2 linked regions of the Anolis sagrei genome follow. The protein of the gene in region 2 interacts with the protein of the main gene of each other region in a biochemical or structural test. Links are inferred from orthologs where the notes say so. Each region holds a gene or a part of one and is shown on either strand. Other genes may lie near its edges.

Region 1 (9,905 bases), on a different chromosome or scaffold from region 2:
AGCAAGAAACCTACAAAGCAGGGCATCTAGATGGCAATTTGGAAGATTTAAACATTTGGAGTACAACACCCAGAATCCTTGGTCAGCATGGCTGGGGATTTTGGAAGTTTAAGTAAAGGTAGTTAACTCCTCTAAGCTACTGATTCTCAAACATTTTGATGTATTGGATTTGAAGTCCAAAATATCGGAAGGACAACATACCAAGAACAATGTATTGTCGAAGGCATTCATGGCTGGAATCACTGGGTTGTTGTGAGTTTTCCAGGCTGTATGGCCATGTTCCAGAAGCATTCTCTCCTGACGTTTCGCCTGCATCTGAGGTTATCCCCACAACCTCTGAGGACACCTGCCATAGATGCAGGTGAAACGTCAGGAGAGAATGCTTCCAGAAGATGGCCTTATAGCCTGGAAAACTCACAACAACACACCAAGAAAAATGTATGGTTGAAGTGGTCGGAATCACTGGGTTGTTGTGAGTTTTCCGGGCTGTATGGCCATGTTCCAGAAGCATTCTCTCCTGACATTTCGCCTGCATCTGAGGTTATCCTCACAACCTCTGAGAACGCCTGCCATAGATGCAGGTGAAACGTCAGGAGAGAATGCTTCTGGAACATGGCCATATAGCCTGGAAAACTCACAATAACACACCAAGAACAATCGGTAAAATTCTTCCCAAAATAGCAGATGCAATCGGGTTTGTTGTCGGATGCCTTCAAATCATTATGGAATTAAATTGACCCTAAGGCAAACGTATTACAAGGTTTTCTTGGCAACGTTTATTCAGAGGGATTTGTCTTTTCTTCTTCTGAGGCTGAGAGTGTGTGACTTTCCCAAGGTCACCCAGTGAGTTTTCCATAGTGGAGCGGGGATTCAAATCCTGGCCTCTAGTGCACACTGGCTCTCCAGGATATTATTCCCAAGCGGCAGTAATGGGAAAAAATAAAGCTCTACACTAGGCATGGACAAACTTGGGCCCTCCAGGTGTTTTGGACTTCAACTCCCACCATTCCTAACAGCCTCAGACCCCTTCTTTTTCCCCCTCAGCCGCTTAAGCGGCTGAGGGGGAAAAAGAAGGGGTCTGAGGCTGTTAGGAATGGTGGGAGTTGAAGTCCAAAACACCTGGAGGGCTGAAAGATGTTCATGCCTGCTCTACACTCAAGCAATAGCAATTTCCTTTGATCCACACTTCTTGTTTCAGTCATTTGGCATTTGCAGAGCTACAACTGTGTTCCTTCTTCTTCTCAAACACACACACAGACACACACACAGGTCAGCCTAAGCAACAAGCCATGGTTACATCAGCCGGGTTGACAGAGAAGACTCAGCAAAGCTTTGGGGGAGTTTTTGGTTTCGTTTTTTTACCCGGATTATCAACCCCAGTCTGAATGATATCATCCAAGCAGAAGCCACTGGGGGTTACTCTGTCTCTCAGTTTCTGGTACAATTCCGGGGTTAGGACTTTGGCCATGTGGTTGTTGTGGGTGCTCAGGTCCGGGTATTCCTCATCCGGAGGCAGTTTCTGGTTATTAAAGGGCATTTTGCTCTCGCTAGAAGGTGATAAAAACACACAAAAATACTGCAGGGTTAAAGACAAAGACAGCATAAAATCACCAAGATCTGCTCCCCCTTTATCAGTCAAAGAAGTGCCACAGAGGGTAACCAAGGGATTTCTTTTTCCACAAAACTACCTCCAATTTAATGAGTATTAAGCTTTCGAAGTTGTGCCAATAGGGAGAGAGAAAAGAGAGAAGATGCTGCATACCTCTCACTGCGCATCAAAGTATTTAGCAGAGTGTTTACACAGGAATTTGGAATACAATTGGTTTCGTCAAGCAGCTCATTGCATCCTCGGTTTGCATCCCTCGACATTTAAACATTCAGGTAAATGTGTTGCTGAAGGTTTTTATGGCCAGGGTTACTGTGATTTTTCCAGTCTGTATAGCCATGGTTCTAGAAGCATTCTCTCCTGACATTTCACCCACATCTATGGCAGGCACCCTCAGAGGTTGTGAGATATTATACATACATATATATTATATATATAGTGAATTCTTTCTCGCATCCTGGACCTTCTACAGATATATAAACCATATATATGAGTATGTTTATATAATATATAAAATATTATATTATATGTGTGTTTATATATCTGTGGAAGGTCTAGGGTGGGAGAAATAATATAAATATAAGGTGAGTTCTTTCTCCCACCCTGGACCTTCCACAGATATAGATAGATAGATATCCATATATGTTTAGGTAAAGGTTGGGTAAAGGTTGTCCCCTGACATTAAGTCCAGTCATGTCTGACTCTGGGGTGTGGTGCTCATCTCCATTTCTAAGCCGAAGAGCCAGCATTGTCCGTAGACACCTCCAAGGTCATGTGGCCGGCATGACTGCATGGAGCCCCGTTACCTTCCCGCCGGAGCTGTACCTATTGATCTACTCACATTTGCATGTTTTCGAACTGCTAGGTTGGCAGAAGCTAGGGCTGACAGCGGAAGCTCACGCCGCTCCCTGGAATCGAACCTGCGACCTTTCGATCAACAAGCTCAGCAGCTCACTGCGCCACTGGGGGCTCCCCATATATGTATATATATATATATATATAGGTTTATATACACATGGTAGGTCCAGGGTGGGAGAAAGAACTCACCTTACATTTATATTTATATTATATATATATATAATACCTCAATCTCTGAGCATGCCTGCCATAGATGTGGGCAAAACATACAGCCCAAAAAACTCACAGCAATTCAGGCCAATGCCCAAGGGTATTATGCAGCTAGGCCTCTTGAAGGTCTTATCAGGAGGTCTTTTGAGATGCCATTTTCAAAGCAGCACTTCCTCACTTAATGAAGGGAGAACAGATCCGGATCACAGAAGGGCCGCTGCCCCGGCATCCTTTACCTGGGTTGTCCACCCCAGTCTGAATCACATCGTCCACACAAAATCCGCTTGGAGTCACTCTATCCCGCAACTTGGTGTACAGCTCCAAGGTCAGCACTTTAGCCATATGGTTGTTGTGGGCGCTCAGATCTGGGTACTCATCCTCGGCGGAGTAGTTCTTCTTCAAGAGGTTGTGGCTGTTTGAGAATGGCATGGCGGGCCCCTGACTGCAAGGAGCTAAGAAGGGAGAAGAAGAGGAGAGGGGAAAGCTTAGCTGTGGGCTTGAGCTGCGGATGGGAGCTGGGCCTCGCAGCAAGGTCACCTTGTCTCCGGTACTGCGACCTGCCCAGGCAGGCACTCTCCCCGCCCGGCACCTGAGGATTGCCAGGCACTGGGCCAACATTCCCCTTCCGCCTCCTCTTCCTCTTGGCACCAGGAAGGGCCACACAGCAGGGACCGGCAGGAGGGATCTGCTCAAGGTCAAGAGCCTGGCTTGAGAGAGAGAAGAGGAGGCCAGGAATAGAAAGCGGCAGAGCTCTGTCTCTCTGAGCCTTGCCCCACTTCCTCCTTTCCTTGGTCCCAAAGGGTCACCTTCAAGGCAAGGGAGCAGACATGTTTTTGGAAAAGGATGGGTGGCTCTGGAATCCCTTGTTTCTGGAGAGTTGAAGCCCAAACTTGGACACTCTCTTTTGCATCCTCTTCCTCCTGGCCAGATGGTGCCACAGAAAAGGAGAGGAAGAGAGAGAGGGGACCCGCCCTGGTTTCTCCTGCCTCCAAAGCCCAGCCTCACTTACTCTCCTCGCTTTTGCAAGAGCGGAGAAGCCGGTTGGGGATGGATGCGTCCTGGGCAAAATTGGCAGTGAGGAATGCGCCAAGGAGGGTTCCCTCTCTCTCTCCAATCTTCCTCCCTCTAATCTCTCCTTGGTCCCTTTAAAGCAGGTGGATCTGACATCCCTGCAAACAGCCCAAGGGAAGGAAGGGTGTGGGGTGGAGACTCTCCCATTGCGCTTTGCTTGCCAAGAGCGCACGGCTGGCTTCTCCATTCCATTCCTTCCTTCCCTTTTCCTTCAAGACTGAGAGCCAAGGCATCTGAGGGACATTCTGGGGGCTCAAAGGCACATATGGGGCGGGCATCCTGATAAACAGCCCAAGGGGAAGGCAAAGGGAGGGAGATACCTCTCTCTATCGCAGGCATGGGCAAACTTGGGCCCTCCAGGTGTTTCGGACTTCAACTCCCACCATTCCAAACAGCCTCAGGCCCCTTCCTTTTCCCCCTCAGCCGCCCAGGTTTGCCCATGCCTCCTCTATCGCACTCCTTTTGACTCATCCAAGCTCTTCCTCCAGGAGCCCCCCAGGATGCAATGGGTTAAACTCTTCTGCCCACAGGACTGCTGACTAAAGGTTGGGGGTTCGAATCCAAGGAGAGCGGGTTGAGCTCCCTCTGTCAGCTCCAGCTTCCCATGCCAGGACATGGGAGAAGCCTCCCACAGGGATGGTAAAACATCCGGGCGTCACCTGGGCAACGTCCTTGCAGACAGCCAATTCTCTCACACGAGGATTTGAATGGGGGAGTGGGGTGAGCTTCCTTCTGTCAGCTCCAGCTTCCCATGCAGGGACATGAGAGAAGCCTCCCACAAGGATGGCAACGTCCTTGCAAACGACCAGTTCTCTCAAACCAGAAGCTACTTGCAATATTGGGGTTTGAATCTAGGAAGTGAGTTGAGCTCCCATCTGTCAGCTACAGCTCCCAAAAGGAAGATAAAAACATCAAACATCCGGGCGTCCCTTGGGCAACGTCCTTACAGACGGCCAATTCTCTCACACCACGATTTGAATGGGGGAGTGAGGTGAGCTTCCCTCTGTCAGCTCCAGCTTCCCATGCCGGGACATGAGAGAAGCCTCCCAAAAGGAGGACAAAAACATCAAAACATCCGGGTATCCCCTGGGCAACGTCCTTGCAAACGGCCAATTCTCTCACACCAGAAGCTACTTGCAATTTGGGGTTCGAATCCAGGAAGTGAGCTGAGCTCCCACCTGTCAGCTACAGCTTCCCATGCCGGGACATGAGAGAAGCCTCCCAAAAGGAGGATAAAAACATCAAAACATCCGGGCGTCCCCTGGGCAACATCCTTACAGACGGCCAATTCTCTCACACCACGATTTGAATGAGGGAGTGAGCTGAGCTCCCACCTGTCAGCTACATCCTCTGGGCAACGTCCTTGCAGACAGCCAAATTCTCTCACACCAGAAGCGACTTGCAGTTTCGCTCCTGACAGGAGAAGGAAAAAAAAAACCATGCTGTGGAAAGCACAGATAGGAGGAGAGGGGGAGAATTTCCCTGCAAGGTACACCTTCTCTAGGGGAGGACTGAGATAGGGAAGTCCTTGGGGCAAGGCTGGCTCTGGAAAGCAAGCCACTGAGAAGCTTCGGCTCCCTTTGCACCCATCCTTGGGGAAGATGGCCACTCCATCTCTTCCTCGCGCTCGCCCTCCAAGTGGAGGGAACGAAGGGGGAAAACGAAAGGGCGCTCCCGTTATGTAACGAAACTCCTCTCTGCTTGGCGCAGAGGAGGATCATGCCAACCCATCCCCTGCTTAAATGCCAATTCGGGGCCAAGGGATGGGAGAAGGAGGCAGCTTGAGCCCTGCAGGCAGGAGGCAAAAGAATGGGAACGAGAGTGGTCTTGCTCTTGCTTTTCAGAGCCAGGAAGAGAGTCAAGAGCAGCAGCATCTTCTGTCTCCCAACTCACCACGCCTTGGTTACTCTCGGCATCCTTTCCCTTCCCTTCTCCAAAACCCCAAAGCACATTGGCATGAAGAAGAGCAAGCATCGCAAGGTCATTGGCTCTCCCTTGGAAATGATAGGCTTCCTCCCCAAGACTCCTGGTTGACTTGCCTCCCAGCACTTACCGAGAGGGTCAGAGCAAGACAAAAGCGGCGCACTTGTGCCTCCTCGAGTGGGTGAGTGAGTGAGTGAGTGGAAGGAAGGAGGAACCCGGCTGCTCTTCCAGACAGACCTGCCTCGAATGGAGCCGTACCCCCGCCCTCCCTCCGCTTATATATCCAGCCCAAGCCAAGCACCCATTGGACACTATTTATATTCCATTCATTCCATTGGAGGCTTGCTCTCCAGGAGGAGGAGGAGGATGGAGGGAGGGAGAGAGAGGGCTCTGCTGGCCCAGTCGCTCCCAGTTTGCAGCCAGGCCTCCCAGTCAGGTGGAGAGGGAGAGGAGAAAGGAAGAGTCCCAGTCTTTTTGGGTTCCAATTCTGAAGGGAAGAAAGGGAAGGACATGGACCCTCCTCCTCCTCCAAGGAGACAAAGTGAGATGATGAAATAGCAAAGCCTTACAAAGGGAGATACTGCATCTCTGGGAGAAAGTAAACAAGGGTGGGTCCCAAGCTGGCAGGTGCTCTGGGAGCATGTACTTCTTTATTGACTGCATTTATATCTCACTTTTCTCTCCCTAAAGCAGTGTAAAAGGTAAAGGTAGTCCCCTGACATTAAGTCCAGTCATGTCTGACTCTGGGGTGTGGTGCTCATCTCCATTTCTAAGCCGAAGAGCCGGCGTTGTCTGTAGACACCACCAAGGTCATGTGGCCGGCATGACTGCATGGAGTGCCGTTACCTTCCCGCCGGAGCGGTACCTATTGATCTACTCACATTTGCATGTTTTTGAACTGCTAGGTTGGCAGAAAAAGCAGTGTAATGGCACACAAATAACTCAGCTGTTAAACTGAAGAACCATGTCTTTAAATAGCCAAGGATAAAGACATGCAATTACAAAAATATATTTGGTTAGCAGAGGATGGCTGTTTCTTTGAAGTTGAAGTTGCCCATCTACTCTCCCTTACAAAAACTCTTGTTTAAAACATGCACTCGGGAGACAAAACAAAGTAGTCTTTGAAAATAACATTTTGGGTTTACTAACAAACTTCTTGTATATATTCACCACACAGGCACATTTCTTATTAGAGTTCAGTTAGATAAGATATGGTCTCTTAAGTATGATACTTAGTCAATTGTCCACAGTCTTTAAATATAGCTATACTCACTGAAGTCTGAAAGTCATACTTCTCTACTAAAGTCCAAACAGCAACATGCATCCACCTCCACTGAGGTCTAAAAACCCCTAAAGCAGTGTTTCTTACTCTTCCTAATACTACAACCCCCTTAATACCCCCTCGTGTTGTGATAACCCCTCAACCATAAAATTAAGTTGATTTTATATAATACTTTAACTATTTTTCCCATGAAACAAAGTGTGTGTACACTGAACCATCAGAAAGGAAAAGCACCAATATCTCAGTCACTCATGTGGACTATTTCAGATTTAGGAGTATTTCCAATTTTGGAATTTTGCATAATCTTTAGCATAGTGTTTCTCAACCTTCCTAATGCTGTGGCCCTTTAATACAGTTCCTCATGTTGTGGTGACCCCCAACCATAACATTATTTTCCTTGCTACTTCCAGAACTGTAATATTGCTCCTGTTATGAATCGTAATGTAAATATCTGATATGCAGGATGTATTTTCATTCACTGGGCCAAATTTGGCACAAATATCCAATACATCCAAATTTGAATACTGGTGGCATTGAGGGGAATTTATTTTCTCATTTGTAGTTGCTGGGATTTATAGTTCACCTACAACCAAAGAGCATTCTGAACTCCACCAACTGACATAATTGAACCAAACTTGGCACACAAAACTCCCACAACTAACAAGAAAATACCGGAAGAGTTTGATATCGTTGACCTTGAGCTTTGGAGTTGTAGTTCACATATATCCAGAGAGCACTGTGGACTCAAACAATGATGGATCTGGACCAAACTTGGCACGAATACTCAATATGCCCAACTGTAAACACTGGTGGAGCTTAGGGAAAATCAATCTTGACATTTGGGAGTTGTAGTTGCTGGGATTTATAGTTCACCTACAATCAAAGAGCATTCTGAACTCCACCAACTGAGAGAATTGAACCAAACTTGGCACGCTAACCTCCCATGACCAAGAGAAAATACTGGAAGGGTTTGCTGGGCATTGACCTTGGGTTTTGGAGTTGTAGTTCACCTATATCCAGAGAGTACTGTGGACTCCAACAATGATGAATCTGGACCAAACTTGGTACAAATAATATGCCCAACTGTAAACACTGGTGGAGTTTAGGGAAAATAGATCTTGACATTTGGGAGTTGTAGTTACTGGGAATTATAGCCTACAATCAAAGAGCATTCTGAACTCCACCAATGATAGAATTGGGCCAAACTTCCCACACAGCACCCCCATACCTTGAAGGTACTTGCTGGTGCAAACCTCCCTTCAGCCTCACACGCTCTCCCTCGCCCACACATGCACACCATTCGCCAAGCACGCCTGCTCTCCCCTCCCCTCTTGAAGTCTCAGAAACAGCTCTTCCCTTGGCTGAGAGGCCAGTCAATCACAGCTGAGGGGGGCTTTTTGTGGGAGGATTCGCAGTCTGTTTCTAAAAAGGAAGAGAAGGACAGACGATGAGATCTTCAGCCTTCTCTGTCAAAAGGGTTCTTAAGACCATCAGAAATATATGTTTTCTGATGATCTTTGGCAACCTTTCTGAAACCCCCTTGTGACCCCCGTCCCAGGTCCTGACCCCCAGATTGAGAAACGCTGTCCTAAGGGAATTCAAAGCGGTTTCCAGCCTTATAAAGGCAACATGCTGTACATACATGTGAAAACCAAAATACTAATAGCAAGACAATAACATAACTATGAATTAAACCTAACCAAATTAAAATATAAACATAAAAGAGCATTTAGACATAAAGCATAAAAAATTACACATCGATAATATAATAACTTTTGTATTAAAACCCACTGATAAACACTATTTTAAAAGAGTTATTAAAATCACGCCATCCAAAATCAAGTCCAAGCGAACTGAAACACCTGAGTGAAATGACCATAGATAGCATCACATGAATGCCATGCCAGAAAGAACATGTCCCATTGGCCACCCTCCCTCTCTCTCTCCCTCCTTGGTTTCTATATTCTTGGGCAGGATTCGAATCCAGGCTGTAACACCTAGTAGGCTCTAGAAAGATGTTGGTGAAAGATGATGAAAATTATATAATTGCTGTATCCACAGAAAATACATTTCCAGACTGCATGGATATGCAAAAAATACGGATCATATCCAATTCTGTTGAATTGAAGGACTTCTGGCCCAAGAATACCACACAGTCCTGCTGGAGGAGGACTTAGAAAATGCCTAGAGAGGATGTATTTTGATGGATCAGGATAATTGAAACCATCGATACTGATCCTGCGGAAACAGGAGGCTGTGCTTTAGTATCATTTCCCTGCTAGTCAAAGACCATCTGGCAAAGAGGAATTACTTGGAAGGATTGACAGAATTATGGAAGGTATGTTGAAGCCTGTAAACCATGTTAGAGAGGGCAACAATCTGTGTGTGATGCAGGTAAACAATGTGCTAATGTGCAATGTAGTGCGGTAAACGTTCCAACCTCACCAAACTTTGACTGTGCTTTTCCTGCACAGTCCTAATGGCTAAGCGGGTTAAATCGCTGAGCTGAACTTGCTGACCAAAAGGTCGACAGTTTGAATCCGAGGAGCGGGGGCGAGCTCCCACTGATAGCCCCAGTGTCTGCCAACTTAGCAGTTTGAAAACATGCAAATGTGAGTAGATCAATGGGTATTGCTTCGGCGGGAAGGACCTTGGTATCCGCTGAGGTTTAGTTCCAGGACTCCTCATATATTCCAAAATCTATTCATGCTTAAAGATACCTGGTGGCATAGCGGGTTAAACCACTGAGTTGCTGAACTTGCTGACCAAAAGGTTGGCGGTTTGAATCCAGGGAGCGGGGTGAGCTCCCACTGCTAGCCCCAGCTTCTGCCAACCTAGCAGTTCGAAAACATGCAAATGTGTGTAGATCAATAGATACTGCTTTGGCGGGAAGGTAATGGCACTTCATGCAGCCATGCTGGCCACATGACCTTGGAGGTGTCTATGGACAACGCC
Region 2 (9,905 bases):
CCCTTAGCACTACATTATCAAATCATCAACAGTAGAACGGAAATCCCAAATACAGTGTGAGAATTTTTGAAAGTAAATGTTATAGGCTACTTTCTGATAGGATTGTAAATAAATTTTTGAAACTATAAAGTCCCATGGTAAAACCTTCATAGAATATTTTCTTTTTTTAAGGTGGCAGACCCTTTGATCATTTTATACAGCCCTGACATGAAAAATTATATCACCATGCCCTGGAAAATATTTCAAATCTCTGTTGATACTACACATTCAGACAGCCATCCCTTTGTCAAAATATCAATTATAAAAAGTTTTAAAAATCAGTACTAAAGCAGAAATAATTTTCTGAAGAATAATGAAGAAACCTGACTTAATGCTTCACTGCAAGAGAAGGGTTCACAAGACAAACAATTCTTTCGCATGTTTGCACAATGTTCACACAATGAAATCTGGAAATCTCACGTAAGCTGCTGTCAGAGATTTTACAATGGCAGAACAAAAGGAAATGCTTGCAACAAATTAGCTACCAACACATGAAGACTAATCAGAGATTGACTATTTCAATTTAGATGGTACCCTTCTTTATTTTGCCTAAGGAGTTGTTTATTAAGATGATTAGTGAAAGCATTTAACATTATTTGAGAAGATGTAGTTATTTACAAATACTAGACTCTGAATGCAGAAATAACTGCAAGAATATTCACGCACAAGAATTCAGTCTAAATCAAACAGGAAGATGACTATTACATAGACTTGTTAATTCAAATAGTAACATCAAGCCTATACACTGTAGTAATAGCTTACCCTTGTGGAAAAAATCCAAATCTATCCATTAATTTCATCTATTTGTTCACCTAGTCATTAGCATATCTTGCCAACATGGCTGGAATCACCGACTGAAAGAAATAATGACTCTCTAAATGGCACTTAACTAGGTCCCAACAGTGTTCATATATATATAAAGCTGCAGAGGGATCTGAATACTTTTCACTTGAGTATCTACTATATTAACTGTCAAAGTGCACGTAGCAGGCCAAGAAAGTTCCTGTGTATGGTGCCTTATGTACCCCAGTGCAAACACAGCACACTCTCTAAGCAGTGGCTATATTCGTCCATTTAACCAATTACAGATTCACCTAACCATAGTTTTGCCTAGCCCACATTGGACTAGTTTGTTTGCCAGAAGGTCATGAGGGACCTTGTCAAAGGCCTTACTGAAATCCAGTGGAATTAATGCTGTTTGATGACATTTTAGCTGCCATTGCTCAATGCTATAGGTGTTAGCAGCATTTACATCCTGCCTTCTTTATGTGAGCTGAAGGTGACATTTGTAGCTCTCCTACTCCTCACTTTATTCTTATGCAGCAACCCTATGAGGGAGGTCATGATGAGAGACACTGAATGGTTCAAGGTCACCTAGTCAGTTTCATGACTCTGTGGAGACTTGAACTGGAACATTTCATGCACTATCTCAGGAGGAGAGGGCTACTTTATTTTAGCCCCAAAGCATATTTGTCTGTAGAATACCTCACAAAATATTAAGAGAGCAATAGCAAGAACTTTAATAAGAAAGCTCAGAGATGTCACAATGGTTTCCCTTAAAACAGGATCACGACAGTCAAAAGAGACGGCAAGCGCCAACTAGTCCAACTCATTCTGCCATGCAGGAACACCCAATCAAAGCACTTCCAACAGATGGTCATCAACCTCTGTTTACACCCCCCCCCCCCCCAGCAAAAAAGGAGAGATTCCATCAGCCTCGAGGCAGCAGACTATCCCACTGTCAAACAGCTTCTACTATCAGGAACTTATTACTTATTTTAAGCTAGAATGTCTCTGTAGTTTAAATCCAGAAAATAAGCAAACTCCATCTTGGTCATCCTTTCAAAAAATTTAACATGGCTCTTAGCTGTGAAAACCCACTGGGAATTCACATATTTTCAGTGCCCTTCCACACAGCCATAAAACACAGAAAATCAAGGCAGAAAATCCCACAATATCTGTGTTGAACTGGGTCATCAGAGTCCACACTACCATATATTCCAATTCAAAGCAGATAATGTAGGATTTTATTCAACTGTATGGAAGTTGCCTCAGTTGCAGAAAATCCTGAAATAGAGGCTTTGCCATAACTTGGGAGTAATGTCAAGACAACTTCCCATCTGATATTGGAAACTAAGCATGGTCAGCCTTGTTTGGGATAATGTCAATGAACTGTAGGTGCTGTAGTCTCTATTTCTGAGGGGAAAACTGGCCAAACTTCCTCTGAGAATTTCTTGCCCAAGAAACCCCTGTAAGGCTCATAAGTTTACGGATGATTCACAGATACATCATGGTACCAGCCTGTGACAATAGATCTCTTTCAACACCTTTCATCCCAAATATTTTTTTTCCATTTACTTTACCTGGTTTTCTTTTGCCTAGTTCAAAAACAGGGATCTTGTAGCACAATAAATAAAACAAATCTGGTAGCATGAGCTTTTGTAGACGAAGTCGTCTTCTGCGAATTCACCTGAGGAAGTAGATTTAGGTTGCATCTAAACTGCAGAATTAATGCTGTTTGATGCCATTTTAGCTGCCATTACTCAATGCTATAGAATTATGGTAGTTGTTTTGTGGTGAGGCACTCAAATTCTTTGGCAACTAAGACTAAAAACATAAAAACTACAACTCTCGGAATTCCATAGCATTGTGCTGTGGCAGTTTAAGTGGTGTCAAACTGCATGAATTCCTCAGGGCTCTTCCAGACAGGCCCTTTGTTCCAGGATCTGATCCCAGGTTTTCTCCTTTAGACTGTATTATATTAGTCCATACTGCCAAATGATCTGGGATAAACAGAAAACCAGGGATCAAAAGGGCCTGTCTGGAAGGAGCCTCATTGATAAGCGATTCCCAAACATTGGTCCTCTGGGTGTTTAGGACCTCAGCTTCCAGAAGCCTGAGCTCCATTGCCCATTAGTTGGGATTTTGGGGAGCCGATGAAAAAAAATAAGAGGGACCAAAGTTTGGGAGTCTGTGATGGTGAAAGAATGCAATTTGGTTCCACTTTAACTGCTGTGGCTCAATGCTTTGAAATCGTAGGAGCTATAGTTTCATAAGATCTTGAGCCTTCTGACAAAAAAGCGTGGGCGCCTCACCAAACTACAACTCCAATGATCCCACAGCATTGAGAATAAAAGTTAAAGTGGGGCCAGACTGCATTCATTCTACACTGCAGTTGCTTTCTGAGAGAACACAATTATCAGCGGAAGCCTTTGTAGACATGTCCCAGGATTACACAGCATTCTATACACTGCAGAAGTAATGGAAGATGTACCCATGCTACAACAGGCCTAGGCAAACTTCTGCCCTCTGCGTGTTTTGGACAGGCTATTAGGAACTGTGGGAGTTGAAGTCCAAAACACCTGGAGGGCTAATGTTTGCCCAGGCCTGTTCTACCATGTAGGCAAGCCTATTATGCTTGTTTGGAGCTTACAGGGTGACTAGCCATGGTCAGGACCCCATAAACTCCAAACAGGCATGCATGCATTTTTAGATGGGTTCTCCATCATACCTGTATTTTAAAGAATTAATAATTATAACATCAACAACAAACAATCTAGGGCTGTTAGGAATTGTAGGAAGTCCAAAGGAGGGCTGAAGTTTGACCATGTCTGTACAGGACATTATATACTCATCTTCCATTTTAATTTAAATGGCAACCAAGTTGCTTCCCTCACCTCCCAGTCCTCTCCTTCTCACCTTTTCTTCAAAAAAAATAATAATGCCAGCATAAAATCCATAGTTTAAAATTGACATTAAAAGTAGGTCATTGTTTTTATTACTACGTAAAACAAGGCCCAGGTGGCTTCCCTCATGTCTCCCAGTCCTTTCCCTTTAGAAAGATCTAAAGACTTGGCTTTTCTGATGTGCCTTTGGAGAGTGACCATATATTCCAGTCCTGTTGTTTCACCTACACTGCTTCCCCCATACTGCACTTTCCCCCACCTTATTGAAAGTCTAAATCCACTGTTCAGTCCCCTTTGAGCTCCTCCCCCACAATTGTACCTTTTCATTGCTATCTCATCCAGTGTTTTATCATTTTATGTCATGCATTTGGCCCGCCCACTGTGTCTGATTTTCCATTATGTTATTTTGTACTGTTTATTTTACTTGATTGGTTTATTTATTTTATTGTGATGTTATTTTGTTGTTTATATTTAATGTTGCTGTAATGTATCGCTGGGCTTGGCCTCATGTAAACTGCCGCGAGTCCCCTTTAGGAAGATGGTGGCAGGGTATAAATAATAATAATTATTATTATTATTATTCCCTCTCATCCATTCTTGTAAAAATGCCAGCTTAAAATCCATGGTTTAAAATTGACATTAAAAGATAGGCCTTTTTTTATTACTATGATTAATGGGTACATTAATGTACTTTCTACTGACGACTCCTATGACATATGGCCTGTATTATGACCTGAATTGTCATTCAATCTGATGTCCTATATTATATTAACTGATCCTGTTAATTTGCTCTGTTTCCATGGTTTTTCCTATGCCTTAATACATTGTCATCTACCTTACTTCCAAGTACTTGGAAGGCGCTGAACAGACTGTGCTCTGGCACCACGAGATGCAGAGCCAACCTTCAGAAATGGGGCTACAAAATGGAATCCTCGACATACGAGTGTGGAAAAGAGCAAACCACTGACCACCTGCTGCAATGCATCCTGAGCCCTGACACATGCACAATGGAGGACCTTCTTGCGGCAACACCAGAGGCACTCCAAGTGGCCAGATACTGGTCAAAGGACATTTAATCAACTACCAAGTTTGCAAAATCTGTGGGTTTTTTAAAAATCTGATTGTTTATTTTGTTCTGTTAGAAATGTGATACAATGGTATGGTTGCCGATGACACGATAAATAAATAAATCTACGTTACTAAATCACTTTATCCTTTAACTAGTTCACGTAGTGGTTTGCCTCCCCCCTCCAAAATTAGTCTGCTGTTATTATTGTTGCTAGCTATTTTTGTTATATTGTTTTATGCTCGTATGCCCTTCACAAACACTAGTATCACCTTTTGCTTATGGCCCAGCATTATTTCCAATTTTAACTCTACATTTGGCCTTCCCACTGTTTTAATTATGTGTTGCTTCTTTAATTTTTGTCGTGTCAGGAGTGACTCCTGTTGTGAGAGAATTGGCCGTCTGCAAGGACGTTGCCCAGGGGACGCCTGGATGATTTGATGTTTTTATCATCTTTGTGGGAAGCTTCTCTCATGTCCCCGCATGAGGAGCTGGAGCTGATAGAGGAAGCTCATCTGCCTCTCCCCGGATTCGAACCTGCGACCTGTCAGTCTTCAGTCCTGCTGGTACAAGGGTTTAACCCACTGCGCCACCGGGGCTTCTTTAATAATGTTGTGTATTTATTATCTATGTTTTTTAATTGCTTGTATCGATGTTTTATTGCTTCTGTTGTTGTGTTGGGCTCGGCCTCATGTATGCCGCACCGAGTCCCTTGGGGAGATGGTAGCGGGGTACAAATAAAGTTAATCAATAATAAATAAATAAATGCTGTTTTATGCTGTTTTAATTGTTATTGCTTTATTTTAATTATATTCTGCCTGGGCTTGGGCCCAATGTAAGCCACCCCGAGTTCCTTCGGGGAGATGGAGGCAGGGTAGAAAAATAAAGTTCTTCTACATCTGTACTGTACAATAAGGGTAGTTTGGCACCTATTTGATTGCTAAGGAACGGTGACTGTTGTAGTTTGGACTCTTGGCACCATCCTCGGGATGGGGAATACAAACTACAGCTCCCAGGACCCCATAGTATTGGGCCTAGACAAGGAAAGGGGTGCCAAGCTGCCTTAATTCGAATGAAAGGATGGGAGAAGCGAAGCACCAGACCTTTGAGCAGGCATGGGCTTAAGCGGCTGAGGGGGGAAAGGAAAGGGCCTGAGGCTGTTAGGAATGGTGGGAGTTGAAGTCCAAAACAGCTGGAGGGCCCAAGTTGGCCCATGCCTGCCCTTGAGGCCCACAACAAGGCAACTACGAGGGGGCCTTGCCTCTCCCTCCGCCCGCCCTCTATGTAAACAAGGCCCGGCTTCTTCCCCTCAGAGACTCTCACCCTCAGAGCGGTTGGGATGAACGCGGCCTCTTCAGCAGCGAGCGAAAGGGAAGACCGAAAGGAGGGAAGAAGGAGAAGAAAGAAAAGGGAGGAAGACCGAATCACCTTCCTGCCGAGGAGACGGGCGCCTCCATCTGTAGCCGGGCCGCTGTGGCCTGCGCACCGGAAGCCGTGGCCTCCAGCGCGGCGTCACTTCCGCCGCCGGGAAGGCCGCTGACGTAGGAGGAGCTGGCAAGGCGAGGAAGGCTGGAACGAACCATTCTTCAGAGCGCTCGGGGAGGGGGGGGGGAGCAGAGATGAAGCGTTCTATGGGCCATATGGAGAGTGAAGAGGGGGAGGACGAGATCTTTCTTCTTGCCTTCCAGATTATCCTCTTAGAATCATAGAATCAAAGAGTTGGAAGAGACCTCATGGGCCATCCAGTCCAACCCCCTGAAAGAAGCAGGAATATTGCATTCAAATCACCCCTGACAGATGGCCATCCAGCCCCTGTTTAAAAGCTTCCAAAGAAGGAGCCTCCACCACACTCCGGGGCAGAGAGTTCCACTGCTGAACGGCTCTCACAGTCAGGAAGTTCTTCCTCATGTTCAGATGGAATCTCCTCTCTTGTAGTTTGAAGCCATTGTTCCGCATTCTAGTCTCCAGGGAAGCAGAAAACAAGCTTGCTCCCTCCTCCCTGTGGCTTCCTCTCACATATTTATACATGGCTATCATATCCCCTCTCAGCCTTCTCTTCTTCAGGCTAAACATGCCCAGCTCCTTTAGCCGCTCCTCATAGGGCTTGTTCTCCAGACCTTTTATCATTTTAGTCACTCTCCTCTGGACACATTCCAGCTTGTCAATATCTCTCTTGAATTGTGGTGCCCAGAATTGGACACAATATTCCAGATGTGGTCTAACCAAAGCAGAATAGAGGGGTAGCATTACTTCCTTAGATCTAGACACTATGCTCCTATTGATGCAGGCCAAAATCCCATTGGCTTTTTTTGCCGCCACATCACATTGTTGGCTCATGTTTAACTTGTTGTCCACGAGGACTCCAAGATCTTTTTCACACGTACTGCTCTTTGTTTCACAGAGATCTGTTTTAAAAACAATCCCCACCATCCATCAAGAAGGCTGATGAGATTCTTTGGAAGATAGTTTTATTAAGATTTCCTGCATTGAGAATGCATCTTTTATACATGGAAAGTGTCCTTCTAGCTATATATGCTTCTAAATACCAAATATTCCCAGATCTCATCTCCACTCTAGGAGCCCCCGGTGGCATAGTGGGTTAAACACCTGTGCCAGCAGGACTGAAGACCGACAGGTCGCAGGTTCAAATCCCAGGACAGCGCGGAGGAGCTCCCTCTATCAGCTCCAGCTCCTCATGCGGGGATATGAGAGAAGCCTCCCACAAGGATGATAAAACATCAAATCACCTGGGCATCCCCTGGGCAACATCCTTGCAGACAGTCAATTCTCTCACACCAGAAGCGACTTGCAGTTTCTCAGGTCGCTCCTGACGATGAAAAAAAAGGCTGACCCGAATATAAGCCAAGGCACCATATTTTACCCCAAAAAACTGGGAAAATGTATTGACTCGAGTATAAGCCGAGGGTAGGAAATGCAGCAGCTACTGGTAAATTTCAAAATAAAAATAGATGCAATACAACTGCATTAATTGAGGCATCAGTAGGTAAAATGTTTTGAATATTTACATAAAACTATAATTTAAAATAACACTATGGAACTCTGATTAAACCATTATTCTAACCTTCAATGTAAATTATTATTATTATTATTATTATCTTTATTTGTACCCCGCTAACATCTCCCGAAGGACTCAGTGCAGCTTACAAAGGCCAAGGCCCTCAGTAAAACAACAACATAACAAATACAACAATAAAACTCATAAGGGATGTGCTTGCATATACTTCCAATAAAAATAGAGTAAAATAACAAATGTAATAATACTAACAATAATAATAGAGTAAAATAATGGAAATGTAATAATAACTACGGTAATAATAGAGTAAAATAAGAAATATAATAAAACAATAGTAAAGTAGAATGATCAATGTAATAACAACAACAATAACAGTACATTTATTATGTATTTCTAACAGGTAAAATAATAAATAACCTTGACTTGAATATAAGCCGAGCGGGACTTTTTCAGCCTAAAAAAAGGGCTGAAAAACTAGGCTTATACTCGAGTACATACAGTATATAATTTCTATATATAATGTTTATTATTATGTACTAGCCGTTCCCTGCCACGCATTGCTGTGGTTCAATCTTTGCATATGTGTTTTGTGTGTGTATATATATATGTGTATATGTATATATGTGGTTTTGCACATGCGTTGTAATGTATTTATTTGTTTTGGCTTTTTAAGTTTCATCCACTGTGTTTTTCAGTGTTTTTATGAGTGATGGTCACTTGTTGGCCTGATAGGTGCATTGTGTCCAAATTTGATGTCAATTCGCACAGTGGTTTTTGAGTTATGTTAACCCCACAAACCAACATTACATTTTACAGCAACGCGTGGCCAACTGGCTGTTAGGAATTGTGGGAGTTGAAGTCCAAAACACCCGGAGGGCCCAAGTTTGTCCATGCCTCCCTATTCTGATGCATCATTTCTGACTGCCCCTCTTGTGCTTATCAGTGACATGGTATGCACATAATAATAATAATTAGCAGAAGTAAAATGAGGCTTAGGAATTGGGGAAGATGTGGTCATCCTCAATCTTGTGTTCAGCTGTGTTCACAAGTGAAACAGACACTGCTCAATCTTGCCACTAGATGGAGGAAAGTTGTTGGTAAGTAATTTTCAGCATTCTTTCCAGTCTGAGCAAATGCAGGGCATTGTTCCATCTGAATTCAGGCAGCAGATTATTTATTTAACAAATAGAGGCAAATAGTGTCATCACTTCTGCATTGTTCTTTTCTCTGACTTCCTCTTACAGATAATATCAAGTGTTCAGCATGCCTTCTAAGGTTGGCTCCACGCTGTAGAATTAATGTAGTTTGATACCACTTCTCCTACCATGGTGGGGGACATGAGCGAAGCCTCCCTGCAGGATCGTAACACATCCGGGCGTCTCCTGGGCAACATCTTTGTAGATGACTGATTCTCCCACATCAGAAGTGACTTATCAATTCAGTAACGGACACGATAAATAAATAATAAATAAGACACCTTCACTCTTTGGTGGGAAAGGCAAAAGACGTTGTAAAATGACAGTTCTCCTGATTTGTAAGTACCAATGCACTTACAGTGGTATTAAACTGCATCAATATCAAAAGTGGACACAGAATTTAATAATCATTATGTGAGGAGGTAATTGTTGAAAATCTGAAACAGATATAAAGTCTTGTCGAAGGCTTTCATGGCCAGAATCACTGGGTTGTTGTAGGTTTTTTCGGGCTATATGGCCATGTTCTAGAGCAGGGATCCACAAACTTTTTAAACAGAGGGCCAGGTCACAGTCTCTCAAACTGTTGGAGGGCCGGATTATAAGTTGTAAAAAGCATGAATGAATTGCTATGCCCACTGCACATATTTTATTTGTAGTGCAAAAACCACTTAAAAACAATACAATAATTACAATGAAGTACAATTTTAACAAATATAAACTTATTAGTATTTTAATGGGAAGTGTGGGCCTGCTTTTGGCTGATGAGATAGGATTGTTGCTGTTGTGTGCTTTCAAGTTGTTTCAGACTTAGGTTGACCCTGAGCGAGGGCCGGGTAAATGACCTTGGAGGGCCGTATCCGGCCCCCGGGCCTTAATTTGAGGAC

What was found.
Region 1: of the proteins of ARIH2 (region 2) and CKB, one has a biochemical effect on the other in vitro, tested with the Homo sapiens proteins (2 studies listed by BioGRID). The link is inferred for Anolis sagrei from reciprocal best matches to the Homo sapiens genes ARIH2 and CKB.

Annotation. Positions count from the first base shown.
Region 1 is NC_090021.1:327,581,523-327,591,427, reverse strand, and holds the start of CKB (creatine kinase B-type), read right to left. Parts: upstream 5,939-9,905; 5' UTR 5,799-5,938; intron 3,127-5,798; 5' UTR 3,104-3,126; coding exon 2,911-3,103; intron 1,548-2,910; exon of another isoform or gene 1,538-1,547; coding exon of another isoform or gene 1,363-1,537; intron 1-1,362. UniProt on the Homo sapiens protein: Reversibly catalyzes the transfer of phosphate between ATP and various phosphogens (e.g. creatine phosphate).
Region 2 is NC_090022.1:28,588,080-28,597,984, forward strand, and holds the start of ARIH2 (E3 ubiquitin-protein ligase ARIH2), read right to left. Parts: upstream 6,308-9,905; 5' UTR 6,115-6,307; intron 1-6,114.